2 linked regions of the Kluyveromyces lactis genome follow. The protein of the gene in region 1 purifies or fractionates together with the protein of each later gene. This does not show direct contact. Links are inferred from orthologs where the notes say so. Each region holds a gene or a part of one and is shown on either strand. Other genes may lie near its edges. The genes, in order: SGF11 and HFI1.

Region 1 (15,806 bases):
AAGTACTTCCAGGTTATTATCCTGACACCATCGGATACAGGTATTCAAGTTGCCTGATCTCATTTCTTTAACAATGTTGGCCATTTCTATATAATCCATTGCAATAGATCTGGGGATCCTATACGTAGAGTGCAAATACTTCAGCATTTCATCTGACGTGGTTCCTACAGCCATATTAGTATAATACCTTGCGATGTGAGAAAAGATCGCCGTATCCAAATAGTACAATTTCTGAGGGTTTATCTTGTTCACATAAACAGAATCCAATTGAAACTCATTCAAGGGCTTGACGCACGCCTTTGAAAACTTCCGGTAAGTGCTGATAGAAGAGTTTAAGGATTTCTTCATGGAAGAATCCCAGTTCTTATGAGATTTCGCTAGTTTCTCCCTAATAACAAGACGTTTCTGTGGACTTGATCCATGCTTCAGCAAATGCGCTTTCAATTTCTTCAACTGGATCTTAAAGTCGTGCACTTCTTCAACACATTTCCCAAGCTGGGTCCTGCGCTCGTCTTTATCAACGTATAATCTGGAATTGACCCATTGTTGATCTAAAGTCTCTAGCAAAGTCGACATAAGTAACTCAGTTTAATTCTCTGAAGGGTACTTGCTAGTTCTAGTGTCTCTAACTTTCCGCTCTTCTGTAGAGTAACACCTGACAACTCTTTACACCGTTATAATGATGGGTTAAAGATCGTTATCACAGGTTTAAGGGTACAGGGTACGATGCTGGACAACTTGATTTGAAATGACACACATTATGGGTTTGGGGGAAGATTTAAGGCTGCACTAAGGCTGGGTAATGAAATCTCACCTTCTACCACGTGATAAGCATCTAACGAGATGAGCAGCGAACCTGTTCCCACTAACTTCCCGTCCACAGACATTACATTCGATGTAAACGGCGGAGTCTGCTTGCTTTGCCTTACCGTGTATATCCAATGTTCCTGACGGGTCAGCGTAATACGGTTTAGCATCCGGGAATTGCAGTTTCAGAAGCTTTCTCTTCACTGTTTGACGCGAGATGATATCTTGGATGATAGAAGTAAGAATGTTCTGATATATGGAATCGGCAACCGAATCTGTGGTCAAAGAAGCAGTCATGGTTACAGCCACCTCTTGATAGTTGCAAATACTGAATAAGTCAAGTCAGTACTGTTGTCTTATGTCTGATCGTAGAACAGAATTGATTGTTTCAATATCAAAGTAAGCTAATTTGACCTTGCTTTTCTATTAAAATTGGATATTGCAGAAAATTGACGATAAGCACAGGGAATACAAGCAGAATACAAGAGACAACAGTCGACATGTTAGCGGCTACAATGCCTGATACCATGCATCTCATTACGGACAGATATTAATAGTATACTTGTAATAAATATGGGGATAAATAAAACGTACATACAAAGCGGAAAGAGATAGAGAGAGAGAAAGAAAGCACAGCTAATTCTCTCTATAACTTTGCATTCAATGCAGCAGCCTTTCTTGGGGATAAGCTCAGAGCTTCCTTTTTGATGTTTTCAGATAGACCACGGTCGACTCTTGCAAACATGGCAAATACACGGTCTTGGATTTCAGGGCATGCACTTGCTACGTGTACTGCGACATTGTGGGCCAATGCCTTTTGTTGACCTGGCTGTTTGCTCAACACTTTGTTATACAAGTCTCTGGCTTGAACGAAATCGATGTCTCCTGGTGAGGTTGCCCAATGTACAGGCATTGCAGGCCCAGACCATACTTCTTGATGTTGTTGAATTGGCTTTGATTGTTGAATGAATTGGTACTTCTTAGAAGTAGACAAATAGTTTGGCTCTTTGCCCAAATTGCCGTTAACGTTCATTGGGCCATCTCTGATAGCTGGGTTGAAAACCTTCGATGCATATGGACAATTAACAGGGATTTGAGAATAGTTAGGGCCTAATCTGTAACGATGGGCATCTGGATAAGAGAACAAACGTGCTTGTAAGACAGGGTCAGCAGAAGCTTCTTGGTATGGGACGGTGTGCGATGGGGAGAATGCAGCCTGTTCCACTTGAGCGAAGTAATTTTCTGGATTTTCATTCAAAACCATCTTACCTACACGACGCAATGGGAACTGCTTATGAGGCCAAACTTTTGTTAGATCGAATACAGAGAATGGCAATTTTTCTGCCTCTTCTTCGGTCATAGTTTGAATGTAAAGGGTCCAAGATGGGTAATTACCCTTGGCGATGTTTTCAAACAAATCCTTTTGACAGTAGTCAGGGTTTTCACCAGCCAACTTAGTCGCCTCCTCGTTGTTCAAGTTCTTAATACCTTGATCTGTCTTCAAATGCACTTGCACGTAGCGCCATTCACCTTGCTTGTTAGACCATTTGTAAGTATGACCCGAGTAACTGTTCATGTTACGATAAGAAGCTGGAGTACCACGATCGGAGAACAAGATCATCACTTGATGAATTGCGACTTGATTCTCCTCTGTCGTCAAAAAGTCCCAAAACATGTCAGCATCCTTCATATTGGTTTCTGGGTTTCTCTTTTGAGTATGAATGAAATGTGGGAACTTAGAAGGATCTCTGATGAAGAAGACTGGCGTGTTGTTGTTGACCCAGTCGACATTCCCTTCTTCACTATAGAACTTGATAGCGAACCCTCTTGGGTCACGTGCCGTATCGGCAGAACCCTTCTCACCACCAACAGTACTAAATCTAACAAGGCATCGCGTTCTCTTCCCCACGGTATCGAACATCGCTGAACCGCACACGTCCGTGATATCATCTGTAATTTCTAAGTACCCAAACGCACCTGATCCATGAGCATGAGGGTTACGTTCTGGAATCCGTTCTCTGTTGAAATGAGCTAACGAATCAAGAAGGTTAAAATCCTGCAACAACAAAGGACCATGCTGTCCTACACGTTGCGTAGCAAATGGTTCATTAATTGGAGCACCTTGAGAGTTTGTGACCACACGGTCTTTCCTAACATCCGCAGTATTAGTAGGATGGCCCATGGTTAGAAAAAAATTTTGCTTATGTGTTGAATGCTATGTTCAGTAATGGTTTTATACTACTGTAAATATAATCAACCGTATCGGTAAAAGTATGTCGACACTATGAATGAAGAAACGGTTACAGAATCAGTCATGATGTTATATATATAGCCCTAATATACTCTGTTCCATTATAAATAAACGAGTTTTTGCCAAATGATCTCCAATCCATACAATGGATCATCTAAATTACCATCTGTGTAATCTCCAATATCAAAAGGAAATGGCCGCTATTTGAGCCTGACTCAGCAAGAGGAATTGAGGATAAGGGATGAACGAATGCTGAGATAACCCGGAAATAACGGCTTGAGGCTTCTGTAAAGGGCAAAAGCGACCGCTTAAGGTTTTAAGGTGGCGGTAGTACGGTGTTTTCTGTGAAGGTTTCCGATGCAGTTTCGGCTTTTATAGTGAGGAGGATTTCTGGTGATAAGCGCGGGGTATTTCTCCGTATTAGGAAATTGCAGCCGATATGGGTCGTGCATATTAGTCACGTGATGAAAATTCAAGCCAGCATTCGTTCATTAAGGGTCTTGTAGTGTAGGTGTCTGCCATTCTCATCATGTCGACGTCCGTTCCTTTGATGGACGTGGCTCTGCCACGTCCACTTGTCCCCATCAACGAATCTGTCTGTTGCTGGTACACCTTGTTGCACCATTCGGGAGAAATATCAGTGGTGTACCTTGAATACAGCTGTGCTATGCAGTATTTCATCTCCATCAATGCAAGGTTCATGCCAAGACACATTCTGTTTCCTTGTCCGAAAGTGAACATGGAATTGTTCATTTTCGTTAACCTTTTCTCGTACTCTTGTTCGGTTTCCCCTGTTGTTTCGTCCCTTAACCATCTTGCCGGATTGAATTGTCTTGGATTGGCACCGAATGGTGTTTCTAGTAGGTGTAACGACCATGGTTGGCATGATACTATGGTCCCCGGTGGAATTTCTACACGGGTTCCGTGTTTATCCCTTAGTGTAGCTTCGAATTTGGGCCCCTCTTGTGGGACGTATCTGGGCTCGCTGCCCGGGATCGCCGAATGGAGTCTACATGCCTCTTGGACAATACTGTGAAGAATCGGCATTTGGTCTAAACGTTGTAAATCCGATGGTACTGTTTTACACTCTTCAAACAGTTTATCTTGCCAGTGTCTGTTACAAGGTCTTGAAAGTTCCCAACATATGTAAGTCAAGGTGATACCAGTAGTCTCGTGGCCCGCTATCACATGATCTGCGATTTCACTTGCTATCTCTCTGAATTGTGTTTGAGAGATTGGTCCCTTTCCGATTTTCTCATCATACATCGTGGATAGTACGTTACCCACAGGTGATACTATCGTGTTATCATTGGTAGATGACCCTATGATTCCCTGCTGTAACGGTTTTAATGCCTCCTGAAATTTATCCCATATCCATTGTTGAGATTTGGCCGATTTCTCACCAATCCCATACCATCTTGCTACAGTGTCCCATAGCATTGGGGCCAGTGTTGTATAAAACCACATGCTACTACTCTCTTGGAACCCTAGGAATAACTCGTTCCGATGAGCTTTCCCCTCACGGGTATGATCCAGATCCGTAATGAAATTCGTACTGTACTGTGGCCCATATTCAAACCCAGATACGACATCCAAGGCAAGAGCCAAAAACAAAGAATACACGTTCATCGGTTTCCCCAATTCTTATCTATCTGAATCCATGCTTTATCAACTTTGGCGCTGATATAAACGCCGCTTTGTATCACATTACTCTTGGAGTATATTTTCGAAATGTTCTTCTTCTTTTGGATATGGGTCTTTGTATCACCGGTACTGAAAATGTTCCTCGTGTTGAAGTTACCAAACTGAGAATAGAACCCCACACCATTGTTTTCGAACTCTTGTAGGGAAATTTCCCATGTAAATCTGTTTCACGTACTTGAAGGAATTGAAGGCTACCTCGTTCGGACCTATCTGTACTAGATCCCCGTACTTCTCATGCAATCTTTGTAAATATTCATTACGTTGTTCCGTACGAGCCTTGTTCAATATGAACCAACTGCTCAACTTCAGATGTTTCGGCCCAGGTAGTGAACTCAATGGACTGAAGACCAATGGGTATATGACGAAGTAATGCAACAAGCCGATTAGGATGACTATTAATGTCACGATCATTGCAGTGGTATTCAATCAGACAGGAAGTTTCAAGCAGAAAGGGCAGACAGTCAGACAGTCCTTGCCGGTTGGTTTCTGTTCCCAAATACCGTTTGTAGACTTCTTCCAAGCTGATCTTGTATTTTCCCTTTTCTCCACTAGTGGTTGCTCCATCTTTATCTCTCTTTATATGGAAAGAAATCTCGATAATATGAGTAATCATCCCGAATATGCAACATGGTGGGAAAATGAACACTGCTATTACAGCGTAAACCCCTTCATGTTTACATTCTGTTACAGTCCCGGAATTTCTATCTCTTATAGGACTGCTTTTCCCGGATAGACCGGCTAGTACCTAATTCGTTCGAGGTAACTTCTCGCTTGACGATCTTTGAAGCTTATCTCATAGACAAAGTGTTACTGATAGAGAAGACATGTATATAAAGAGATGTATAAACTTGAAATTTGTCAATGCGATCATTTGGTTGGTGGGTTTGGCAATGGTTCGTCGCAGAGTGTAATACCCTCCCATAAGAAAGACACGAATGGATCTTCAGTGATATTAGTGAACCATTGCGTCAACTTTGCATGTTCTTCACGCCATTTCTTTCCGTACAAAGTCTCGAAGATCCTAGTGAAAATAATAGCACTCAAATAATCTGCAAGGGACGCACGGTCACCAACGAGGTACTTGTGGTCGTTCAAACGTTGTTCGTACCTTTGGACAAGTCTGTCCAATTCTGCATATGCGTCATCCACTTGTTTCTTATTGTAAGGGCTTCTGCCGTTCAACGGGAATGCACCGCGAGTAAAAGCTAGGCACAAGTCTGTATTGGCAAGAGATAGCCATTGCAACACCTCAGCTTTTTCCTTGTTGCCCTTACCTAGTAGACGCTGGATCTCAGCATTGTTATCGCTCAAGTTGACCAAGTAAACTAAGATTGCAAGCTGTTGCGTTAACTTAAACCCATCAGAACCAACGTAACATGGAACTTTCTTCAATGGGAACAACTTAGACCAGTACTCTACGTTGCTCTCTGGCTCCAAGATCTTAACGTCCAAACTCAAGCTTTTCACAATTGCGCGAGGTAACCAGGTTCTAATACGGAAATTCGCAAACAATGTGCCTTGTGACATTTTCGAATTCTCTATAATGTTGATAGAATTAACTAATTGGATCTTTACCTTAAAACCTCAAAAAAGTAAACACAATCGATGCTTATGAAACTAGTTTGGTTCGATAGCACAGCACTGTAACTACAATTGTCAAGTTTGAGATTCCTAGCAGTAGTGGTAGAACTTTAAGCACACAAATTTTCCTTTTCTCCTTTCTTTATCCGTTTGCATTCGTTCCATAATGTCTTCCCAATGTAGTTTCCTTTTTAGTCCCTTTATATAGAAAATGTGAAACATTTCCGTTAAAGGCTTTGAAAGAACGTGAACGACAGCAACACTGGATGGCAACAGTGTTCTCAGAGTCACGGTAGGTAAGGCAGGTAAAGCAAAGTTGCATATTTACGGATTGCTATCTCTGAGAGGTTTTGTATTCAATTGGACTGTACATATAGCCGTTGAAGATTAAGTGAGGGTCTGATAAATAATAAACATTTCGTGTCTTCTGTGACTTTAGTGGTATATATAAACACACTAACACGAGAGATACACTAGCGGTGGATAGATTTGAGTACTGTGATAAGACAGCTGTGCATCTCAGTGTTTTATCCGGACAGTAGCGCTGAAATAAGTAGTAGAAAACATGCCAATGACAGATCAAATGCCCTCACCACCAAGTATAGAAATTTCTGATTCGCAGTACCAGAAGCTTGGATTGCAGTGTATCTCGCCAGGGATAGCGACTGCTAATTTGGATGACGAACGGTTGCAAACGTTTAACAAATCGAAGTACATTGCGATGCAGCAGAAGAGACAGATCAGGCGTATGAATTTGGATTCTGTAACGATAAATGAGGATGAGCATGAACACGAGCATGAGCAAGAAAACGAGCAAGACGAAGAGCAAGATGACGAGAAAGAACACGAAAAAGAACATGAACAGGATGAAGACCAAGAACAAGAACAAGATGATGAAAACACGAAACTTGCTGAGAAAGCTGGTACCAGCATCAAAAATAATAATAATATTACAGCCTCAGACCTGGAAACTGACAAATCATCCTCAAGTAATTCGATAGATGGTACCACCACTCCTGGTACCGAGACTTCAATCAACACTTCCAAGAGTCAATCCAAATCATTGAAAAGAAATAACATACCAAAACCACTTACGTTAAAATCAAAGCAAAATACACCTAATGGATCATTACCCAATATAAGGTCAGCTCCACCGATGGTAACAAGACATCCAATTCCAAGTTCACATACATTCTCACAAAGAACCAGCAGAGTGTCGAAACCAAGAGTCATTTATAAAGGCCGGTCTTTGACCAGAAACTTAGCGGGCCAAATTCCGATGTTTCAAACTTCGTCACCCATCGTGCCGCGTCCCCTGATGAGACATCAATATGCGCCAATGACAGCTTACCCTACAACCACCGCACCACCTCACACCCAACGTAGTTTCGAACAATTCGTGTCGAACCCTATCAGAGCCACTAATTCAGTGACAAGGGACGTTTTCAAGGATGAAACTACAAGAATTGCTCCATTAAGCGTACAACCTAAATCCACCAAGAGAGAATTCTTTGATGCCATTGAAATCGAAGACCATAGCAACAACGTCGTCATAGAAGGCGATATACAACTGATGATGGAAAATTTCCAATTCCATTTCGATTCAACGGACCCTCAAATGGATAAGAAGCTCTTCCTCAGCATTTGTTCCAAAATATGGGACGATGTAGTAAGCAGGGAATAGGCGCTCCTTTTCCCCACCCTCATATAACATATTTGTAACTTTAAACAACTTGATCGAGTGCATGGCGTCACTAGACCATCCAGATGAATAACGGTTGGGACAGACGTGACACTCTGTCACGTGACACTCGTGGTCACGTGGCTCACGTAATCGGATTTCCGGTCGTCCTCTACGCGTTCCCAATCGGGGCCGATACAATGGCCGGGTAATATATTAATTCCTCGAAGTATCCCAATATGCTTGCCAACCTTTAACGGTCTTGATGTATATATATATATACATACTCTCTATCAGTTTTATTAAGGCTCTCGGTTTATAAGGTTCCTGTAACTGAGTAGATTGCCAATTAACAGATAAAATTGTTGGTTACTTGTGAATCGTTGATTGAACAGTCGAAGTAAGAATAGTAACCAGGTTTTTTTCCCACTTTTGTGTTAAGGTTTCCTCATTTTGTGATACATCCGATTTTGATTCCCGAAGGTATTGCAATTCAAGATCGTTATTTAGACCATTCACTTGCTGTAAGAAGTGATTAATCCACCGTGACGTTCATTGATAGATTAACGAGATCAGTGACCCAGATATTGAAAAAGGCTCGCGGATCTGGTGTTGAAACTTTGAATAAAGAGATTATAAAGCCTGTAAAGATGCGTGCTTCCACTCTTAACTTGGCTAAAGCAGTCAAATATGTTCCTTCAATCAAGTTTGTTGGCGGCCCTCACCCTGTAGTGACCCATTCTGCTGCGGATGCTGGTTTACATCCTTGTACCGTTGACTCACTAAGGCCTGGTGCTCCCGGTTGTTCTACGGTCGAAGAAGTCGCAAAGAAATGGCTTCCATTCAAGGTGGTTCCATACGTGAACTCAAATAAGAGTGCTTCCGGTAAGGGTTCCTCTACTAAAGCTGCTGGTAATTCACCAAAATATGTGTTTAAAAACAGACCTTTGGAAGAAAATGAAGTTGGATCCATATCACAATTACCCCCAAGATTCAAACTGAGACCTATGGACGAACAAGAGATAGAAATCATTAACGGAGGTGGTATATGATAGGATCTCCTTTTTTTCAGCCTCTCATTTTTCCATAATCGTTAAAGAAACATAATACCAATACATTTATTTATCATAGTTGTACGAACTCACTTGGTTCTGCAATATCTACGACTCATTGAACAGCAAACGATCCATTTCGAATACAATTCTTTTTTTTTTAGAAAACACCATTATCTATTATGATTAATACAACAATTCTACTTTTACCTATTAATTATTACATCTATAACCTTTTGGTGCCAAACATCCTTGCCATTCTTTTGTCTATGTGATTGGTCCTGCCCAGGCAATGGGATAAGGATGAATTTTTTTCAAATTATCACGCTAATCTGTATATCAAAGAATCATTGTAAAACCTTGGATCGCCATGGAAAAACTGATATTATATTTGTCTAATCCTTGCTGTTTGCACCTTTTATTTACCTGTTTCAACACAGTGATTTTGGGATCCTCTTCTGAATCGATATCCTTCACATGTGTTAGAATCACATGCAAGCTAAAATTCTCTGGCTTCACATCGTATACCTCTATTAGCCTTTTCAATTCCCATATAATATGCTGAGGACACAAGTGCCCGTATAATTTGCTTGTATCCACTTCGTCTGTGTTAGAACACTCAAGTACGATGGCCTTCAAGTTATTAATGGGTACATTCTCTGCTAGATATGTCCATATGTTGAGTAAAGAGTCTGTCTTGGAGACAAGATCTGATTCAGTGTCACCACAAATCAGAACATGTCCATCAGTTTGGTGCTCATGGAATAGAAACGCTGTGCTCAGTACAGGTTCTTTGGTATCTATTGTTTGACCATGATTCAACGTAAACGGTATGCAATCAATGCCCTGTATTGAATAGGTATTCCTGCGAATCGAAGGTTCTAGTGCTTCTAATCTGATCGTGTTGTCTGTGGTGAAATCGGGCCAAATCTTATCATTGAATATATGTTCTTTTATCGCTTGTATGGTATGTTCTGTGCCATAAACGTTCTTATAGGATCCCAGTTTGGTGTAAATTAATGGGGCATTGAGTATTAGACCCATCATATGATCGAGGTGCGGATGTGTGATATAATATTCCCTAACTTCGGAGAATATTTCACAAGCGGTCCTCATAATGCTGCTGTGGGCCTCTGCGCTTTTCTTCAGGAACACTTCACTTGGTGTACCAAACCCAATGGTACACCGTACCCCTTGTGCAAGAAATCGTGAAACGTCTTCGGCACTAGATTTGTATAGACTCTTGACTAAGAACGTGTTACCGTATTCCTGTGCGTAGATCATATCTGCGATCTCAGCTAGTCCGGACCCCGCATCAATGCAAATATATCCTGATTCACTCGATCCTGCGCGTTTCATCAAGAAACTCTGTGTATGATTGTTTAGGGGGCCCCCACAGCTTCCTAAGATAGTTAGTTCAAATGAGCATCCAGGATACGTAGACATCTTTTCACTTTCGAAACCAGAATGGAAATATATCGCAAGATATCGGTAAAAATCTGTTTCCTGGCGTATAGATGCCTACCCTACAAGCCAGTTGTATTTGAGAGTATGGAATATAGGTATACTGGGCTAGCGCTATAAGTCCTCTAGTCTTTCCTTTGTCGATGATTCATTAATCAATTAGGTTACTACTTGTTTATATAGAATTAAACTTGTTTTCTAAAAGAATTGGAACTGTAAAAGAATAAAGAAAGGTAACTCCAACGATAACCTTCATATATACAGGTCCCTTCACTCGAAATATCTTAGTGACATAATGACTGAGCTGGCTGTCCAGTAGTTGACAGCATTGACGCCGTTTTGATCAGTTTCTTTCTTGGTGTATTATGTGTGAATATGTGCCCTAATTCAGAATTTACGCATAGTATACATTTATAGAGAAAACACAGAAGAGGTGAGGTCTTCCCGTTATTGACAAAGAAAGTATATATTACCAGAGCAGGATCACCATGTGTTGCTCTTCCTTTGTTGGCATGAGATTGTGTATTTTGGTGCAAGTATTATCTGCGTGGATAAGTGAAAGCATGAAGACAAGACGAAGTAAATCCGAAACCTATACCTTTTGGGTACCATATCCTCTGATGTCTTTGGCGAATTCCCAAGACATATTCTCTACTTGTAGGTCCTTTTCGATATTGAGCCCCAGTTCATTGTCGATTATAGCCAATGAAAACTTACGTGAACTACGGGCATCACGGTAGTATAATATTTTCATTGCCTCTAGGATAGCTTTCTTAGCAACATCTAGATTCACTTTTTCCACGTCCTTTTCGGTGTCTACTAGCTTTCTTAAAAGGGGCAATGCCAAGTGGGCACCGAACCCTGTAGCCAACGTTGGCGAAGAGTATGTGACACCTAATAGGTTAACGTATCTTAAAAATGGCTTTCCATCTTCTGTGCCCCCTACAATTATCGCATTCCATAAAGGATCTAACTTGGATCTACGTTGGTACATCACAGATGATAGATATTCAAAAACGAAGCTTGGTTTCAATTGCTCCTCATTATCCGCATATGCGCTATCGTAATTGTTTTCAATTTCCATCTCGTCTAATAGATGTTGAATGTATTGCATATCGGAAATGTCACCGGATACACCAACAACCGTGTTGGGACCCACTTTGATCAATCTCTCCTCGTTTGTGAAACGTAATAACGAACCGTAAGCACCTAGATTATCAGCTGCAACAATAACACCGTTATTATACTTAATACTGATGACAGAAGTACCGGTAATAATAGGGTTCTGAGTATTCATCTTTGGATTATTTGACGCTTGGGCAATGGCATGATTGTACGCGCCATAGTGTTCGTCAGATGGCCTTCCCCAGGCAAATGGATCGTGATTCATGTTGGAAAGTGTTTCAATGGATTGGATTCGCAGAAAATACCCTTGGTGACTCTTTAGTGTTGATTGTAACCTGTCGTGAAGTGAACTCCTTATGTATTAATTATGAATTGCATGTCTCTCTTATATTCGATAGTGGCAAAATCGTTCTAATAAGGTAAAATGTTAAAGGGCGGGTAACGCTATATTTTTCCAGCTAAAACAGAGTGATCAACAGAGGATACGACCATCGGATAGTAGTACACAGCAGCGCACTACACTACCTATATGGCGCTTTCACGAATATTTATATCACATTTTAGGGTCTGAGGCTTGTTACAAACAGGGTAAATTAGATATTAAATCTTCAACAGGAAGGGAGGCTGAGGGAAGTAAAATAAAGAGCATTCTATATAAAGCCTATACATACTGAGATCGCAATTGAGTGTTCAATAGAATTCTACATTGATCTTAACCTTGTCGCTGGAACCACGGGATAATTTCCTTATTTTCTTTTGCAACGTGATGATTCTTTGCCTCACAGAAGCAATAGTCTTTAGATCGTTTCTGTTAATCTTGACAACAACTTCGAATATCCTCTTGTTCGGGTTCCCTGTTGGAGTTGGCTTGCCGTTTCCTGAAAGGTTCTCATCTATAGATAGCATCTGTAAATCAATAGCCGATTCATCTTTCTCCGAAGTGCTGAAATGGAAGACACCATCTCCAATGTTACCACCAGGGTGAACACCACAAATGACATACATGATAGTGCCAATGTATTTTGTCCACCATATTGTCCTTTCACGTTCTAGTTTGTCACCATCTCTTAGTGCAATGTCTTCCAATAGCTTTTTGTACACTTCTTCAGGTTCTGGTATGTCTCCACCCCATCTATTGCACAATGCTATTCCCACCAAAGCTCTTGATCTGTGAGATAGCCCATGACACCCAGCAATGATACCAGATGTACCTACACGTAGTGCTGCGGTCGGTTGTAGTTCCTTTGGATATGAAGCGTGTACGAAAGCGAGGTTACAAAGAGCAGGAGCTATTCTTTCGTATACTATCTTTGGAATCTCTTTAGTAGGTATAGCAGTCCTTAATAGTTCCAAATATTTGTGAACAAGCAAAGGAGCATAGGGTCTGGTTGCAATGACAAGTGGATCCTGTGCTCTAATCTCCCTTGGAAGAATCGAGTATAAAGTACCTTCTCTGACACCACCTTCACTGAAATGAACGTTTTTGATCTTGGGCAATGACTCGGAAGCTGCTGCCATGAGTAGGCCTACAGCTGGTAATTGTTTGGCTCTTCTATCAGAGACTTTAAAGATCTTACTTGCCGATTCACCTGGAACTCTCTCCTTCAAAAACAAGTAGTCACACATGTTTGAGAACTCGCTAAAACTGCATGAAAATCCATTTATAATTGTTTGAATAGGATATTCTTTGATCTGCGATAATAGAAGATGACCCATCCCTCGCAAGCCACCACCGCATGTATATAAATCGAACCCGCCGTTTAACTGTGCTTCATCGTACATCTCCTTGGGGATGCCAATCTTTGTGACTGCAGACTTGTAAGCATCCACAATTTCCTGAAGTAAGACGTGCTTGCTTTCGAATTTCATTCTTCTTGTCAGAGCACCGGCCCCAAATGGTAATGAAACCGGGGTAGATGATTGAGTAATTTCCCCATTAACACATTTGATCCAAGATAGTTGAGTACTACCACCTCCTAAGTCTATGTATAACCCAGATACAGTATTGAACGACGATATGACACCGTAAGCACCAATCCTGCCTTCTTCTTCTTTGGTCAAAATTTCCACATCCCAACCTGTTGAGTCATAAATAGCATCTATAAACTCTTGAGAATTCAATGCTTCCCTAGTAGCTTCTGTAGCTACTACTCTGACTCCTGTTTCTGGAACACCAAAGTCTTCACAAATTAATTTAAATCTCTTCATAGCAGAACAAACTTCGTGGATAACCGCAGTAGGAATAGGGGCCTTGATAAGCGAATTCGCAGCATATTGCACTTCATACAAAGAAATACCTACTCTATCTTTGAAAACGCATGGCATTATCCTAGCATGATGTGATGCTTTAGATGAAATACTGAACCTTATCCCATTGGAACCTATGTCCACAACACCACATAGATTGCGTGAAACAACTTCAGTTTCATTGTCGCTATCAGATATCATTGACATACCTCAAATATGCTATAAATACTCAATGAAGCCTGTTAGCCCCTCCCTTCACTTGTTACTCAGCTAGAAACCTAGATAATTCTTCTATACCTTCTTAAGTCGTCCCATGGTGGTTATTGTCTAGCTTGTCTAGGATTGCGAACTTCAATATTTTAAAGAAAACAGAAAATAGTCATCAAAAACGATGCACGTGATTTTGTGAGGTGTGGTAAGGTTTATCTTTCTTGGTCAAATCGAGTATGACGACTGCTGCTGCTGCACTAACTCATCTACAAATAGGTTGTCGGTATTTTGATTAAAGAAATGCCAATCTGCTGGAAAATTATTATAATAGCTAAAGATTCCACCGACTTAGCCCAATTCAATGTCGGATCCTAAGAAGTTTAGCAAATCTGCATCTTGAGTGTCAGACAACGATGTATCGAAAGGGCTACTCTGTTTAGGGGAACTTGAGGGTATTATATATGTGATCTTTTGTGTCTGCTGCGCTGAAGACACCTTGGGAAGGGAATTTATTGGATTTTCCAGAACCGGCTCTGGCTCCATTTGCTGACATTCGTCAAGGTTAGGGAGCATACTCTTGGAGGAAGATAATCCTTTCTGCAAATCGTTTCTTGCATCCTTAGATGATGATGGTTCTTCTTGCTGCACACTCTCAGTATGCTTTATCATGCTCTGTTTCGATGCCTTACGCCTGGTGTTTCTAGGAATTCCTTCCCGGCAACAAAGATGGCGGCAAGTTGACTTGTCCTTGCAAGTATGGTGACATTTCATGTTTCCATTATCCAATAGAGATCTGTCGCAGTCTTCTTGTCGTTCATTGTTAGCATTTGAATTATTTTTCTCCGCTAACAAATTTAATAGCTCTTCATCATCATCTGTTTCATTGTTTATAGTTTCCCTGGCGTCACTGTAATTTATTGAAGTTTGGAAAGAGCCAGTTTGGTTTGAATCAATCTGTTCAAGTACATTCGAATATTTTGGCATATCGTCATAGCACCCATTACTCAAATAGTACCTGATTTCACGATTTGATCCGCCTATTTGCTCACATGAATAGACAAACTCGATAAAATTCGTGTTTCTGTCTACCTGGATGGTTATTCTGAAGGCTTTGGGTGTCTTTAACTTACTCAAGAACGTTCGCCGAAAATCTATTAATATGCCTGTATCAGTCTTCAACATGATCAGCATACAAAGTTGTTGACCATGCCAAGATGCAGATTTAAAATTGGCTTGTACTTCTACTTTAAATGAAACATGGATTGCGTTTTGAGTTACCGTCTTTTCTTCTACACTGTATTCGAGCGATAATAAAGGAATCATTTGTAAGTCACTTTTGATTTTATATCCGTTGCCTGGTCGCAAACTGAGATAATATTCGATCTGTTGTTCTGTGAGTTTTTCCATATCTGCAAATGTACATACTCCGTGACTCACTAATTTCCGTAGTGATACCAAACCAATGGTGTTTAGTTGTCTTAAGATCATCGGAGTATCCTCCCAACCTTTACCGGCGACACTACGCAAAAGAAATAAAGTACTTTTCAATGAATCTCCATCATATTTCTCAATAAAGCAATCAATCATACATTTGAGTACTCGAGGAGCATGTCTGAAAACAAGCATCTTATCCTGAACTAATGTTTGGTGATGTTTTTGTGCATCTTTGTAAGAAGGATACTCT
Region 2 (16,900 bases), on another chromosome or scaffold:
GGTTTATCATGTGTCAGGTTGCCTAGAACTCCTAGATCATCTGTCACTCTGTCCAATTTAGACAAAACTCAAGTCGATTCATTGTTAAACGAATTAAAGCCTAACATGCCACGTAAAATTGCAAGGCGTAAGAGTTCCAAGTCGTTAATTAACTTAACAGCTACGCAACTTGAGTTGACAGAAGAGGAGAAATATCTACATTGTATTGGTAGCACAAGACGTGAATCTGCAAAACTTGCTCAGCGCTCCGGAAGCATCATCAGTAGCGAAGAAGACGATGAAGAAGGTGTGACCTTCGAGAAACTGAAACAGAACCAGTTAGCCGAAGAAGAATCACGTCTAGTAAATGAATTAAGGAGGCGTCTATCTCATACCACTATCAATTCAGCTGATGAAGATGAATTAGAATGTCTTCCATGAACAGCGCTATGCTATTCTGACCGGCCTTTTTCCATCACTATTACTATCATTATCATTATTATTTTTATTATTATTATTTCTTATATCGTTCTTATTTTATATACAACTAGATAAGTATTCAAAATCAGATATCATTTATACACGGTAAATTGTATTCTTCTCATGAGAGTATAAAATTATACCACAAGGGTCAAAATTAAAATTATATAAATTCATTACTATAGCTATTCTGCTTAAACTTGCATTGAGACTGAACTAAAAGACGCAGAGAAATCGATTACTATTTGAATTTGGAGAATATCACTAACAAGATAAGTAGTATCAAAACCGCTATTATTGCGTAAGAAATGAACTTATTGGCTATGAGTCTTCTAGTCATGGTTTTCAAAGTGCGAATACTCTTGTCGACGTACGAATCAGCATGGAACAAAGTTTGTCTTGCATTCTCCAATGTTTCTCTTTGAGATCTCAAATCCATCATTATCTGTGCACCAACGTTCTCAGTCTCGGATGCCAGTCTTGTAGCATCCTGTAATTTATCACCAGAACGTTGTAAAAGCGCATGGTTCGATAAAAGCTGTTGCCTTTGTTCATCATTATCGAAGTGGCGACCTTCAAGTAACTTATTCCTATCGCTTTCTTGCACCAATTGCTTTAAAGGATCCTTAATTTCATTCTGACACTGTCTCTTATAATCTCTGATCTTTGCTTTATAAGATGCCCTTGTCTTAGAATCCAACGAGTTCCCTGTATTATTCAACTCTATTTCCATTTGATCCACTAATTCTAAAGATTCATCATGGTACTGTTGAATTTGTAAAAGTATATCCGATTTTCCACCTTTTAAAACAGCACCGGCATCATTCTTAGCATTAGCAAGCAAAACCTTCGCCTGGTTTATAGCGACTTGACATTCAGATTCATAGTTCTGCAATAATGAGGACATCCTGATAAAATAATATGGTTCAGAACCTTCCTTTTTATATTATCTCTTCCCGAATTTCACAACCTAAAGGAAATTTAAGGTTTGAATGTAAACTTGCAGGCCAATGTACGTCTGAAGTAGGCCCCGTTACCAGCTATAACAGCTTAATCACCAGGCCTGCTTTTCGTTGATTCCTAACATTAACTTGAACTCATGGGAGAAGCTTCAATAAAGGGAATAGAAAGAAAAAGAAAGAAAAATACATTGTTCACGTGACTTTGATTGAGTCATGTAAAGACCAGTATCTAGATAAGGGCAAACAATCATTTTGAACCACATCCGCCAAATCCGCGGAAGACCGAGGTGGAATCAGGCCCAGAAACGGTCTGTTTTTTTTGTCTTTGGTTTCATTTCATACCGGCGTTTTCATGAACACTGACAAATTGGGAAAAATCCGATGAGATTCAATAATTGAATGATTAACAATAAGCATTTGCCAATTTCGATGTGAACTGAAGGGAGAACTAGATATAAAGCAACCTTTTTTTGCCAAATAAAAGCTACTTAAGAATCAGAGTTGATAAAAGTTCAGGACAGCTTTTTTTCTCATTGTGGTATAGCAGACGGAAAGGGTCTTTGGTTTCCTTTTAGTAACACTTATCGTTGTTGTTTGTGAATTATTTTTAATCATCCATATCTATTTGGAAAAACTCCTGTATAATCAATGATCAGAGGAATATTGACTAGACAAGCTGGGCATCTGAACCAGTTAAGAGCCAGAAGCATTACTTCTCCTAGCATCTCTCACAACATATGGTTAGCCCGTACAAATTTGTCATGGAAGAGATACCATGGACATTTACATAAACCGAAACCGGGAGAAGAGTTGCATGTGACATTCATATTGAAGGATGGAACACAAAAGACTTTTGAAGTGGCAGAAGGGGACTCTCTCTTGGATATAGCTCAAGGCCATAATCTAGATATGGAGGGTGCCTGTGGTGGTTCTTGTGCTTGTTCGACCTGTCACGTGATTGTGGACCCAGACTATTACGACGCATTAGAAGAACCTGACGATGATGAAAATGATATGTTGGATTTGGCTTACGGGTTAACTGAGACAAGTAGATTGGGATGTTGCATTAAAATGAATAAGGATATCGATGGTATCAGAGTCGCTCTTCCTTCAATGACAAGAAATGTTTCATCTTCAGACTTCGAATAGAGAGAATGACTAAACTGAATTCAGTCATCATATGAAAAGAGACAGCTTTAGATCTTTCTTTTTTTCCCAACAGGGGAAGCATGACATGAGTGACACCAGTTGCATTACCTGTAAATAGGAGCAATCAACCAAGCTCGTTCGCAGTCCATTATCATTATTATTATTTATCATGCATCAGTAAAAGTTTCCCCACGCTGTGTACCGGTGCTATCTATGCACAATACATACATAGTTAAAGGTATTTTACTGTTACCCGGTTACCATATCGTCTTTCACATAAAGAAAAGATATATTTGTTGTCCACGTGACTTTCAAATGACATTTTACGTATTCATCGCTTTTTTTGTAAACATAAACAAATAGACTGTATGAGAAAAGCTTGAAACATCAACAGTTGTTCAGAACAGGTTTTGGGTTCGGTTTCAGGTGTGTCTCACCTGTGTATCACTGATTTCAAATTGGGCCGTGCGTTTGTTACTGTAACTACCGAGATAACGGGCGCCTTAATTTTCTTCTTTTTATTCAATTACCTGATTTTAAGGTAGGCATTATATTACGATTGCGGCGACAATCCTGATCAGAGCTTGTCAAGTCAATGCTATTGATGAACAGTGACCTTTTGTTATGAATGAGACTCGAATTCCATCTATAAATTCAAGAAAACGGCAGAAGCCGTTTTCTTCAGGTTCTGTGTCTGGACAGAAGAAGCATCATCCTGTGCTAGCAAATATAACGAATATGGTGACCACTACAGGAACAACGACAGTAGCTAACAGTAGCGGTTCGAAGAAGGAGCAATTTGCTCCTTCATATCAAACGAAGAGTCAAAGTACGAATATGAGACTATTGAACAAATATTTTTATGGGGATCCCAACGTTATTGAGGAGGTTAAGAAAAGAGAGAGAAAAGCTTTAAAAGATATTCACTTGTTTACTAAACAGATTGAGGAAACGGATTCTCGGTTGGAATCCCTTACTTCTGAGGTTATCCCGCAGCTCAAATACAATTTGAACAAAAGATCCATCATTTTCAAGCACTTGAAACAAGAGACCATGGTGATGCAGGAACAATTATATCAGTTGAAGAACGATTGTGAGCTAAAGAAGAAAAACCATGAGCTGATAACTAACAACTTGAATTTAGAGCATTCTATAAATATACAAGAAGTGATAAATCAATGGCAGCTGAAAATATCTGATAAAAGACACATCTGGGAACTTGAGTTACAAAAATTAAAACAAACTAAACCTGATCCGGCTGTCCTTAAAGAAATCGAAGAGTTAAGCACAGATAAAGCGATCATAGAGAATGATTTAAAAGATTTGAAACGTAAAAACCATGAACAAATTCAATCATATGAGAATGAATTAAAATTACGATTGGAAAAGTTCAAAGAAGATAAAAAGGAACCGCTGATAGCATCCATAGAAGAAAACAAAAAACTAAAGATTAAGATAAATGATCTGAAGGCAACTCAGGAAGCACTACGAGATAAAATTCGAAATAGTGTTGATACTGAACTTTCCTTACAAGAAATTATTAAAAATAAAAGATTGGAGCTACAAACGTTAGAAGCTTCATTGGAGCCGGTAGAGGAGAAACTTAACCAACTTCAATTGAGATATAAATCAGAGAAAGATACCACTGATGAAGTTAAAGCCAAAGCTAAATTAGCAGAAGCGGAATACAATAAAAATTATGATAGAATGGAACAAGAGCAATCGCAAAGAAGAATCCTGGAAAACACAATAGATGAGTTGGATGGTCACATTCGTTGTTTTGCATATCTTAATTACGACGAACTTAATGACTATGCAGTAGACTATATGAACAAATGTATTATCGGAGATACAGATGTGTTTTACTTTAGCAGAATTCTTCCGAGAGACTTAGTATCACCTTCAAACCTTTTCAATAATGAATGCTTCACCTTCGTCGATTCGTGCTTAAAGAGTAAGAAAAGTTGTAATATTATATCAATAAACGATGATTTGAGGAAAGATTTCCTACGAACGATAAATGAACGATTTTTGAAATCCAAAGTTCTTGTTCAGATGGTTGTATTGAACGACAGTGACCTTTCGAAGGATTTATTAAATTCTGAGGATTCTGATTTATCCGCTGTCATTGACGAAAAATGTATTGATTTCCATTCTAAAAGACTACCGATTGAAGAAGTGAATAATTTTATACTTCCCGATTTCAGAGGAATTCATGTTATGAAATTTGAAGTCTTCGATAAAGAAGATGATTTTGAAAGCATATTTTTCATCCAAGCACCTACTAAGGAAATTCAGAAAATGAATGCGATTGATATCACAAAGACGGCTGTCAGCCCAGTCTCGACCTTCTTGCAATCGTTATTATTAAGACTTGAATCCTTAATAATATTCAATTTTGATACACCAGATTCCTCATTATTACAATTATCACAAACTTTACATAAACTACCAAATCCGAAATAGTAGTCATATTCCCTGTCTATAAATTCTACAAAAAAATGAAAGCGTGGAAATTGTTCGATTAAATCAATCAGAAGAGTGACTTTTGGCTCCTTCAATTGAGAATATTCGCAATACTGTTAGTCATTATTTCTTTGTAAGAATATCTTTAATTAGCCAGTTAAGCTCTTCCCGGCTTCCCATATTCTTTTCGTCAAGGGGAGTGAAGTTAGGCTTTTCCCGTTTATAATGAAATAGATCATCGACAGGACTTTTGAAATGAACGATCTCATCGTCATTTACCAACCCATTTGTAGTTAATCCAAGGTATGCACCTGTTGGATCAACAACGTTGGGGAATATCGTGAACGAGTCCAAAGCGTCTTCATTTGTAATGGATACAGTTCTGTTACCAGTAATATCCTTCGCTTTATCACTCTCAGTCTTACTATTTGCTAACGCACTAGATGCTTGTTGGAACCCGTCATCGTTTAGGTCGTAGAAGTCCGAGTATTTCTTTTCTCTGTATCTTACTGTATCTATGGTGGATTCAATAATTGTCTTGAGATAATACTCTAATGCAAGTGATACGATATCAACACATCGCGAATCTATCTGTCCAACAATTCCATTTTCTCTTGCAATTCCTAGCATTCGAAGATAAAGAGACTCATTATCCGGTAAAACATATGACTCGGTAGAAAGTTGTGTTTTGAAACCATTCATGATCTTTTGGGACCATTCCTGTGGGCCCTTCAGATCTTGTTGCTGAATTCTCTTGGCAGTTTCCTGGTTGAAGACGCAAGGTAATTTCGGTATCTGTCTCAATCTAGCCTGTAGCACTGAACATAATACAAATCCTCGTTTTCCTGCTTCCTTTGTTATCATTTTTAATCGTTGTCTATCCGATAACGGTAGGGAAACAACAATTTTTTTGTATAATTCGATCTGCGAGTTGGGCTTGTTTGATCTTCTCTTATTCTGTTGTTGAGAACCGTTCTGGAACCCCCATTTCGATGATTGTGGATCATCGTCGGTGGTTTCTCTAAGAGAATTAGTGAATATCGATAGTAAAAGTTGGTTATGCAATCGTATTAAATCTCTTGGTTTAATATTCGGCTGTTCTTGGGTAGGTTTAAATAGTAAGTCTAATTCATTGACCAATTCCTTTCTGGACAATTTTCCGAGTATGAATAACGAAATCACTCTGGCATATTTCGCCCAATGCTCTTTGCTTAAAACTTCATTAAATTCATTAATCATAGATTCAATATCCAATCGCTTATCCTGAGGAAACCCAACGTTTCCTCCACCATTGTTATTACTGGTTTTGCTGATTTCCTTCACCGAATTGGTATTGTTGTTCTGATGGTTGCTATTAATACCAATATCTTCATGAATTGTCGGCGTACCACCTGTTGCAACTGTTGGCGTTGATACAGACATTCTCGGTCACGTGATTCGATATGCCTTTTATTTTTGACAGCGTTCTAAAATAAACCAAAGTAGAAATAAACCGCAGTAGCCAGAGACGAAAATTGACCAGTGGAGGGTTTCAAAATGAGCGGTAACCACGGCTAAATTGTCACCTTTTTTCAGATTATCAGTAATTACTTATCAATGCACAGTCAGTGCACAGTCAAAATCCGAATGAAGTACCTTGTTGTCCGTCAAATAGGGCGGCTTTCTCTTTCCTGAACTCGCTAATCTCATCCATCCTATACAATTTCATTCGATTTTCTGATTTCTTCATTTTCAAACGGAAAACTAAAACCGAAATTCGATTGGAAAGGCGAAGTGAGGGTAATTCCAAATAGTACTCAGTAATACGACGCGTAATGGGTATATGAGATATGGCTTTTGAGGAAATGAACACTATGGTTTGCTAACTTGCTGTCTACTGTAATATACTTTGACCACTGATACCACTCCTGGAACGGAATTGTCAATAGTATTCTGGCTATTCAATTACATCCTTAAGTATCGAAATTCCACTTTTATTCATTAATGTGATGAAATCACTCGACACTTCAAGAAAGAATCTGTCACGAGACAAATTGTTTCCGAATTGGTGATAAATGATTACTGACATTCTCGACTATTTATTAAATATTATTTATTAGATACTTGTGTTTGTGAGGTGAGGATATTCAGAAACCTAAGCTGTTATAACTTGGCGGAGAGCAGCTAGATGAAGTTGAAGGAATGTATATCAGAGATGAATTATTTGTTTGATCAAATTCACTACCAATGGAAACGGGCATGGCTTTACCATCCATAGCTGGTTCGTAAGCTGGTAAATGCAAGCTGGAACCCATATTTTTATCAATTATCATAACGGGCACCTTGAAATTAATGTTAATACGTCTTGTTTTGTCAGGAAAAGTGCCGTTAGTACAATCTTCCAGAGATGTACCAGCAGTTATCTTTAAATGATGGGTAATCTTAAGTTTAAAACGTTTCTCAGTTGAGTTCCTCCTGCTTAACCTTAACCTTGATTCCTCACAGTAGTATGGCAAGATCTTAGTCATTAAGGAACTTGTTTTAGAGTTTGTGTTAATTACAAGTTCTTCGAATTTAGCAGTTACCAGCTTCGATTCGTTATCATTTGGAGTGGGAAAATAATGACCCAAATGGACGGTATTAGTTTGGATATACGATTTCTTCAAGGGTGTAATGCCATCTGATTTGAGGCATGGTATCAGAACAAGCTGCACTAGGGAAACTGTGACCTTGGTGACTTTAGCTCCCATTTTCGTCAGAAAATTAAACTGACAGTGAAATGGACAGTTTAGTTCAATCAGCTTAGAAGATATGAAAAAATCATAATCTAAGAACCCTTCGTCATAAGTTCCCTGTGAACTGATTGATTCATATTTTAAAAGTGATGATGGGGACAACGTCTTAGTGATCAGAAATTTATGCGTTAAAAAGATAGTTTCTGAGAACTTAGAAGCTAATTGGGTATTACAATAGTTATTAATTGAAGAGGTACCATTAAATGGTGGTAACACAGTCATTAAAGTTTCGATTCTGTAAGATGTTGCACCAACCAGTGAATCAAACGAAGAATGATAATTGAAGGGATCCAAAATGAATGTGAATGGAATGATATATGTACCTTTCGTCAACACCATAGGGAATTTTTCAAAGCATGAGATCTCATCAGTGACAAAAGGTTTGAAAGAACTGAAATTGTCACTAGAATTATCTTTCAAGAGTCTAACCGATCTATCTTTTTTCTTTTGAACGTAGAAAAGGTCATCTTCTGTATCGTCGGAATCTGTTAGGTCATTTTGAGTTTGGCCCTTATTCGACCCCAAAACACAGATATACTCCCTTGAGTAACCGTTCAATCTCACTTTCAAATCTTGGACTATCAAAGACGTAGATTTCACAGTAATGACTAATTTCCCTGTCAACGAAGCCTTATAGTTGGATAATTCTTCTTCTTCACCTGGATAACGGTTCAAATCCATTAAAGAGGTATGCGATCTTAAATCCTCTTTCAAACCAGGTAAGTATACAGTATCGTTATCCAAGACTAACTCAACCCTCATGGTGTTCGAATCATGAATTTTTTTGGTCGGATTCAGTGATTCATCAAATGCATTATATAGGAAGGATGATGATACATTAACGTTCTGCCTTTTAAGGCTCTTCAATGAAATAATTGGCCGAGAGGACCCACCAGAATTGTTATCCCCACCGTTAAAGGGATTAATTTTCGGTCCTGCTGGAGAGATTCTTTGGTCAAGCACAACGGGCAGATGGTTTAAATCGTCGTTCTGATTATAAGCCGGAGGCTTTTTGTAGTCACATGACCCTGATAAACTGAGCTTACGGAAAAACATTATTTTTCCGTGGTTTTCAGGCGCGTATCTGTCGTCGGTCAAATTATGTGTTCTGCCAGATTTGTGGTATAACAGATTGTGAGTGGGGAAAGAAGAAATCAGTAACACCCAGAAGGGGCAAGATGGCGAAAATACTTATAAGGAAATTAAAGTAGGTGAACCAGAAGGCAAATGAGAAGAGAAGACGCGAAAACGCGTTAGTTTATATAATGCCAATTTCTGATCCAGATTTGTAGGACAATGAATCAGATTACACAAAGTGATGATTTGTCATACTCCGCATGTAAAACTGATTTTACATCCCCATAATAGAGCCACTATAGAAAAATATTTATTTAAATTGATTTAAATTAATTTCTTATAATTGTGGAAGATTAGTATGTTTAACTCGTACTTTTGTGGTCGAAATAAATTTCTAGATATCTTAGTATAGTAATGAACAGATTGCCTACCACTAGTCTAAGTAAGTACGGATAAAACATAATTCCGCAACTCTATAGGTATGTAAAAGATGAGTTGGCCAGAACTAATCTATACTCATCGGATCCAAAATACGACGTTGGTCTTTTTTGATTTATGGTGAGTTTTCCCTTTGTACTATCTAAGAATAATGCACAAAGTAAGAGTTTTTTGATATGTAGGAATATTCATGATGAAATTGAAGATATGTGTTGTCAACGCTGCAGCACCGTTAGTGTTTCACGTGTGGTATTCGCTCTGAACTAGTCTAATAACCCCTCTTTTTCATTTCGGTCTTTTTATGCGGAAGTAGGCAAACCTTAAAAGACACTATAGTGCCGCAGCACAGCGTTATTTGTTATTCAATATCAGCCCTAATACAATATGACTTCATTGAAGATATTCTCAGATATGACACCTGGGAAAATGAACCTCATGAGAAATAGTAATGAGTCATTAACATTTTTGCAAAAATTTATCACTTGTGACTCATGTCTTTGACAGGCAAATTTTGCACCAATTACCGGGACAAACTGAGAAAAAGAATGGGGGCAGTTCCAGATGGCAACGAATGACTTATCAGCCATTGATTTATCCGCTTTTTATATTAGAATCTGAATTAAAAGTCATATATGAATACGTATTATATTAGTTATTGTTGAAGTTGACCGGCAACATATCTGTCCACAAGATTATCAATGGCACAAGCCAGAGTAAGCTGGTGGAGAATCAGCAGAGGATAGTGATATGGGTGAGGAATAAGAATTATATTCGTCTTCATCAATTGTAAATGGCCCATTGCCTGATATAGCCGGCGATGGAGATTTATACGCCGGCAAATACAGGCTTGAACTTATATTCTTGTCAATGACCTCTATTGGAATTTTGAAATTAACATTAATGAAATTCTTTGAGCTTGAGTCAGATCCAGAGGGATTAATCGTAACAACAATTTTCAAACGATGCGTAATGCTCAATTTCATTACTTTTTCGCCATCAACTGTCTCCAACCTCGAGACTTCATTGTAGTAAGGCAATATTTTCGAGGTGAACAGATTGCAACTGGAACGGGTAGCAATTTTCAGATCCTCAAATTTCGTAGTAATGATATTAGATTGTTCATCGGGCGGTACGACATACTCTGCCAAGCGAAACGTATTGGTATTCGAGTACGATCTCTTCGCAGCAGCGATGCCATCCGGTTTGATGCAAGGTAGAATACAAGTTTGCAGCAGAGAAACATTGACTTTGATGATCTTAATATCGGGTTTCCCAATACAATTGAAATGACAATGGAACGGTGAGTCGAATTCGATCAATTTTGTAGAGATGTAAAAGCCATAATCAATGAGTCCATTTTGAAACGTACCGTGAGAATTAACAGATTCGTATTTCAAAACATCCGAAGGTGACAGCGTCTTTGTGATGAAACATTTTTGCGAAAGAAAGTAATTCTTAGAATCTCCCGAATCGGTGGGGATACCACTGATGATTCCCTTGGAAGGCTGCATCACCCTCAATAAAGTTTCTACTCTGTAAGTGGTGGAACCAAAAAGAGATCTGAAAGACGAATGATGTTTGATAGGATCCAATTCAAAACTGAAGGGTATAATATATGTACCCTGGGTTAAAACCATTGGATACGTATCAAAAGCACTGATTTCATCGGTGACGAACGGTTTCAAATACGAAAGGCTACCGTTTGCATTATCCTTAAGTAGTTTTAGTTGAGGACAACCATCGACGCCCGTTTCAAAATCAAGTTCCGCTTCAGAATTTGGATCTGAAATGCTACCATCTTTCAAATGTTTTTGTTTCATCATACACACGAATTCAGTAGAGTATCCGTTCAATTTAATCTTGAAGTCTTGCATCACACAAGTTGTATGTAGCTTTCACAGTAACGATAACTTTCCCGGTGAGAAGAGCCAATGGGCAATCCGATGAACTACCCTGCTGTTCAAATAAACCAGGTAAATAAACTGTGTCAGTATCTAAAGCTAATTCCAATCGCAGAGATTTGCAATCATGCAATGGTGTTGGCGGGTTCAACGCCTCATCGAATACATTATAATGGAATGGAACGTTACCCAATTTTTGCACATCTTTCAACGTCTTCAAAACCGTTTTTCCTTTCGAAGGGTTGACTTCATTCAAGGGAGCTATTTGAGGACCCAAAGCAGATGTTCGCAAAGATGAAAAAAATGGTTTGTGGTTTAAATAGTCATTTTCTGTATATTCTGGTGGATTCGAGCTGGAGTTCCCGCTTTGACTCAATTTTCTGAAAAACATTAGCGAAATTGTTTTATTTTTGGTTACTTTATCTTTCAGTGATCTTAGAAGCTGTAATTATAATCCATAGTAAGATAATTTGTCTGGAAGAGTATCCATTAACACACGGACAGTATACCATTATATATGTTCAAGAGAAGCATGTTTTTTCAACACCGATTGAACCAAGTATACTGCTGCTGGTGGAGTTTTCTTGAACGATAATGAATCATAACTGTGACTCGAGCATTCAATTTGTAATACAGTATAATCATTTTACCAGACAGATGTCAAATTCAGACAAACAAATGTTAAGAACAACGTACACCAGCAGATAGCCGCGATTAACCGAGTTACCAGACATCTCAATTCCTACCTAATAAGTTCCTAATTGTTCTGCCAGTTTCCAGCCATTCCAATTCCACTCCCAGTGCCAATGTTCTGAATTGTGTCATCTGTCATAAAATTCAATATATGAAAGAAAATTAATGCGTGTTCTTGTGCTGTCCTGTCCTGAACAGGGTTCATGTTGACAAATTATCCGCGGTTACCCTGAGATATCATAGAATCGACGGAGCCAACTTTAAACTTTTTCCACCTACATGCGGAAAAAATTAGGATGGTACTCCGGAAAAGTAATCAGTCCATCGAGTCTCCCACAATCTTAATTTTTTTTCCACAAGTATTACGACTTTTTTCCCAACGGAATTTTTGCCTGGCGGGGATTTTTCCCAAAGTCTTCTGTGCATAAGACCGATCACGTGATATGACACTAGCTTCATTGATAAGAAACTCTCTGAATCGATTGGCCGATTATGGCCGGGTAATTTAATGCTCTTAGGTCCCCTTTTCTCCTTTTCTCGGTGCACCAGAGAGACAGAGAGAGAGAGAGACAGGTGAAAATGTGTCACACATAGTTGACTATCATAGAAGGGGCCCGGGTAATAACGAGATATTCGCTTAATACTGACACATTTTTGATAGTGACTAACGTCACGTGGCCCGTATTTGTGTTGGATTTGGTTGGGCTGCGCTTCCTGGTCCCAATGAATGAGACGGCCCTTGGGCCGTCTCATTTTTAACAGTCCAAGAGTGCACATATATATATATACACACACACATCGTGGATGGCCCTTGGGTCTTACTTGTTAGAGTATTGCCCACTGTTTTGACTTGTCCATTGAAAATCCCTCCTGCTGCATCTTTTTCTCTGCCGAAAAGAAAAAAACGAACCAAAAACAACCCATGGAAAAGACCATTAAACTTACTGACAGGTAGAAAAGTCTTTAGTACTGCCAGTAGTAGTCACGTTGTTAGTGGCACATTCCACTCCATCCCACTTCTCAGAATTCCTTTCTTTTCTTGACAGCGGACTCTCAAGTAATCTTTCAACACATGTACCGTGCGGTGCTGTAAAGTACACCTTTACATTGTTTTTCTGTCAGTTGTTTCAATGATTCTACTCCCAATCTTTCAATCTTCAATTTTTTTCTACTGTCAAAAATCATATCCGTATTAATATCTGATATTTGATATTCGATATTTATATATATATATATTGTATATAAAAGAATATGTCGATAATAGAATACCGTGAAAAATTCCTGTTGAATTTTTGAAGGAGGGAAAGCTTCGAAAGCGCAAGGTAAGAAATTTTCGACGCTACCGTAACGTAACGTAACGTATCGTGTCAGCACTGAGTTTCGCACTTAGGTGGTGGTGGAATTTTTCAGTTTTTAGTTTCGAGAGATTTATTACTCTTATCCTGCTTTCAAAGTGATAATATGAATATCAATATTAATACGTTTGGAAATTCGAATCTGAATTCGAATGCGAATTCAAATGGTTATAATCCCAGTTCAGTTGCAAGCACTGCTAACACGCCGTATTTCGTGTCGAATGGTAATGGTGGTAATGGGCCTGGAACTACTGGGGCCTCGTTAGTAACGCTCCCATCCATTAAAACGCTACTGAATAAGTTAGAGGGAACGTCTTCTGCCACTTCTTCTCAGACAAATGACGTTCAGTACACAATGGGTCAAACTGAAATGAACCCACGTATAAGGACGTCAATATCAACGTCTTCTTCGTCTCCTTCGTCGAATTCAAGTTCGAGCCCGCTTACAGGCACTGGCAATAACAACCAAAAAACAGCCGGCAGCAACCATACCCAAGATGGACAGGTGCTGCCCCCATTAAGGGGCAGATCTCATTCCGAACCAATGGATCCGCTAGTCACGCTTTCGAATACGGCTACTCAGTTGTTAAATCTGGAATTTAACAACGTCAACAAGGGTACCGGCTCTGAGAGACAATTACAGTCCTTGTTACTTCATAGCAGGTCTTCTACGCTACCGGGACACTTCCCATCGATAAATTCAATGCTTACACCACCAAATTCGGCCAATGTGAATAGTATGCTCCCGGTATCAGCTGATAGAATGGCTTTGATCAACTCTAGTGATCCTAATCCTGGTAATAAGGTTTCTCGTAAATCGAAATCGAAATCTAAATCGAAATCGTTACTCAATTCATCAAAACGTTCGAATTTACCAAAGGAAGTCATCAACGTGCTTAACGATTGGCTTTTAAAGAATTTACATAACCCATACCCTACACCGCAGGTGAAACGTGAATTATTGGAGAAAACAGGCCTTAATCCAGTTCAATTATCAAATTGGTTCATCAACGTTAGACGTCGTAAAATCTTTAACGAATATTATAAACTGAACCAATCGGTGAATACAGACAAATCGGTGAGTTCAGAAATCCTGCCTCCAGATCATGATGACTCAGTGCAACACGAGGAAGATGGATCTGATCCCCAATTGGAAATGAGATTCCGTACTATACCACTTACAAGAAGGAAAAAATTGATAGATCGTCTGGATGAATTGAAACGTCTGTCATCGAATAATATGCCCCCACCTTCTCATCGTCGACAACCATCGTGACATTTGTCGTAATGCATATCATAAATCTACACTTTTTCGGTTATCGTTTAGCATGCATGAGAAGAAGATTTTACCCCTTCATATTAAGGTGGTCTTTTCTTTCTCCTAATTCTTTATATTCTTAATTTTTTTTGTTTTGTCTACGGTCAATCTTCAATTCCAGCTGTCACGAGCTCATTATAAGGCACAGCTTTAACTTTCTTTCATTTATTAGTTTATTAGTGTTTGTCTGCTCTTTTATCTACCATCCATTCATTTCACCCAACTCCTATTGATGGATTAAAGCGGCAAAATTTTTTATTATATCGAGATATCTTTAGCTCTAATATGAACTAGCTATATATTCAAATAAAATACTTCTTACCACAGTATTATTCTTTTAAATCAATTAACTTAGTGAAATAGGTACTTAGATTGAAATGTGATATATACACATCGATAAACGACCTTATGATTGTACTGTTTTTATTGGCCTGGAATGTAAGCATCTTCATCTTCTTCATATTCTTCATCCTCTTGCTGTATTGGAATGTTTTTAACTCTTCTGGCCCCGAAGTTGGCATTTGTTCCAATTCTATTCTCAAGTGGAGTGTAGAACCCACCTCTGGACGCATCGAATTCGAATCTCATCTCATCACTAACTTGACCACCATTCTTACCTCTACCGAACTGTCTTCCCTCTTCGAACCCAGGATCCAAGTCAATGGTTATATGACGGTCATCTAACTTCGTGTCACCCAAGTATTTTATAGAATTCAATGCGTCTTCCATCTTATCGAATATAATAAAACAAAATCCACACGGCGTAAACTTGAACCTATCTAGACCCATGATAATCTTTTTTATGGTGCCACATTTGGAGAATAGCTCATATATTTGCTCTTCACTTGTGTAAAACGATAGATTACCCACATAAACTGTACAGGATTTCATAGATTTTCTCAACTGTTGCAATCCAGAATCTGGGTCACGTCTAGCCTTACGGATCAAATAACGAGAGGGCTTATCTAACCTATCACAACTGTGATCGTACTTAATCTCATCAAACTCCGCTAGAGACATGGTATTTGCTTGACTGATGCTAGTTTGGGGTATTTGGAGTTTATCTGGAGCTATGGTGTCTTATGAACCTATAGATTTTACTTAATCATTTCAATCCCAAATTTAAAGTTGAATGAATCTTTCAAGTTTTTTTTTTTTTTCCATATAAGCCATATTATAAGTACTGAATACTTTGTGTCAGTGACAGGTTGTGAAAAATCAAATAAACAAATCGGGTGGACACTGCATCGAAGCTCTTGACTGCTGAGAAAGAATAATAAGTAACTTTCAATTAATTAAATTTGAGACTATCCAGTGGTTTCTCTGGAAAAATATTGTTATGCACTCTACTTTGACAGAAATGATTCTCAATAGCCATAAGGGAAATGTGGGAAGATACCATTTTAGAATTCATAACACACCCCCATGCCACCAAGAAGAATAAGATCCCTGTTAAATAGGTGCTGATTGTTAAAATTGACTACACAAGTATTTCCAAGAGATTCAGCTACATACTAACAATATCTGAAGAGAAGGTTTCAAGTGATACTGTTTCCATAATAAAAACTAATGTTGATTTCTATTTTGTATGGTTACTATCCGATATAGTGTAACGGCTATCACATCACGCTTTCACCGTGGAGACCGGGGTTCGACTCCCCGTATCGGAGTATTTTTGAAATTTTTTGCTTTTGCCAACAACCCAACAACTGAAAATAATGAAGATCGACATTAACGAGCGGACCGTGATATATGATACTGATAACTAATCCGTCACAATATATACCACTGTAGAGGCAGTAAACTATCAAGATAGAATTAGCAGCAGTACCTGTTTACCACACATTGGATACGTAATACAATGACATATACGGTATAGACGACAAGAAAACAAACAAACTGATAGACATGAATACCAAAGTATTTCAGACATTTATGAGATGAGATATGGTTGAATTGTTATAAAGATTAGAAAACGTATGTCGAAAAACAAGTAGTTGAAAATTGTATTGGCCTAGTGTAAAAAGGAAGTAAAAATGAGAAAAAGAAATCAGTGATTGTGACAGTATTATGATATTGTATTTCAAGATTGAGAAAGGTGCGAACGAACGGAATTACTATTATCAGTATAATAAAGCCATAAAAGGAGAGAAATGAAATATTCATCAATGATTCATGATACACTATGTATGAAAATTTGTAGAAAAGGAATAGTCGTAATGAAAAAAAAAATAGATATTGTTTCATGTAAACATCTAATCGGAAGCAAACTTCTTTTATCTCTTTCTTTTAATACCGTGAGGTTTCA

Evidence for each region.
Region 2: the proteins of SGF11 (region 1) and HFI1 purify together in Saccharomyces cerevisiae (affinity purification with mass spectrometry; 7 studies listed by BioGRID). This does not show direct contact. The link is inferred for Kluyveromyces lactis from reciprocal best matches to the Saccharomyces cerevisiae genes SGF11 and HFI1.

Annotation. Positions count from the first base shown.
Region 1 is NC_006040.1:983,968-999,773, reverse strand, and holds SGF11 (SAGA histone acetyltransferase complex subunit SGF11), read right to left. Parts: upstream 1,105-15,806; coding exon 811-1,104; downstream 1-810. Other genes in the region: ubiquitin-protein ligase RMD5, read right to left, coding at 1-576; CTA1 (catalase A), read right to left, coding at 1,454-2,989; KLLA0_D11638g (uncharacterized protein), read right to left, coding at 3,512-4,687; CAM1 (translation elongation factor EF1B gamma), read right to left, coding at 5,630-6,289; DIG1 (Dig1p), read left to right, coding at 6,909-8,027; alpha-ketoglutarate dehydrogenase subunit KGD4, read left to right, coding at 8,675-9,076; 3',5'-cyclic-nucleotide phosphodiesterase PDE1, read right to left, coding at 9,416-10,522; PRE4 (proteasome core particle subunit beta 7), read right to left, coding at 11,133-11,930; RTG2 (Rtg2p), read right to left, coding at 12,356-14,119; HFM1 (DNA helicase), read right to left, coding at 14,471-15,806. UniProt on the Saccharomyces cerevisiae protein: Component of the transcription coactivator SAGA complex. SAGA acts as a general cofactor required for essentially all RNA polymerase II transcription. At the promoters, SAGA is required for transcription pre-initiation complex (PIC) recruitment.
Region 2 is NC_006038.1:899,497-916,396, forward strand, and holds HFI1 (Hfi1p), read right to left. Parts: upstream 6,459-16,900; coding exon 5,160-6,458; downstream 1-5,159. Other genes in the region: KLLA0_B10263g (uncharacterized protein), read left to right, coding at 1-420; v-SNARE protein VTI1, read right to left, coding at 701-1,366; YAH1 (adrenodoxin), read left to right, coding at 2,070-2,570; CIK1 (Cik1p), read left to right, coding at 3,195-5,036; KLLA0_B10373g (uncharacterized protein), read right to left, coding at 7,163-8,866; KLLA0_B10395g (uncharacterized protein), read right to left, coding at 10,021-11,199; KLLA0_B10406g (uncharacterized protein), read right to left, coding at 11,180-11,617; KLLA0_B10428g (uncharacterized protein), read right to left, coding at 12,211-12,696; KLLA0_B10450g (homeobox domain-containing protein), read left to right, coding at 13,381-14,550; nuclear cap-binding protein subunit CBC2, read right to left, coding at 15,016-15,612. UniProt on the Saccharomyces cerevisiae protein: Component of the transcription coactivator SAGA complex. SAGA acts as a general cofactor required for essentially all RNA polymerase II transcription. At the promoters, SAGA is required for transcription pre-initiation complex (PIC) recruitment.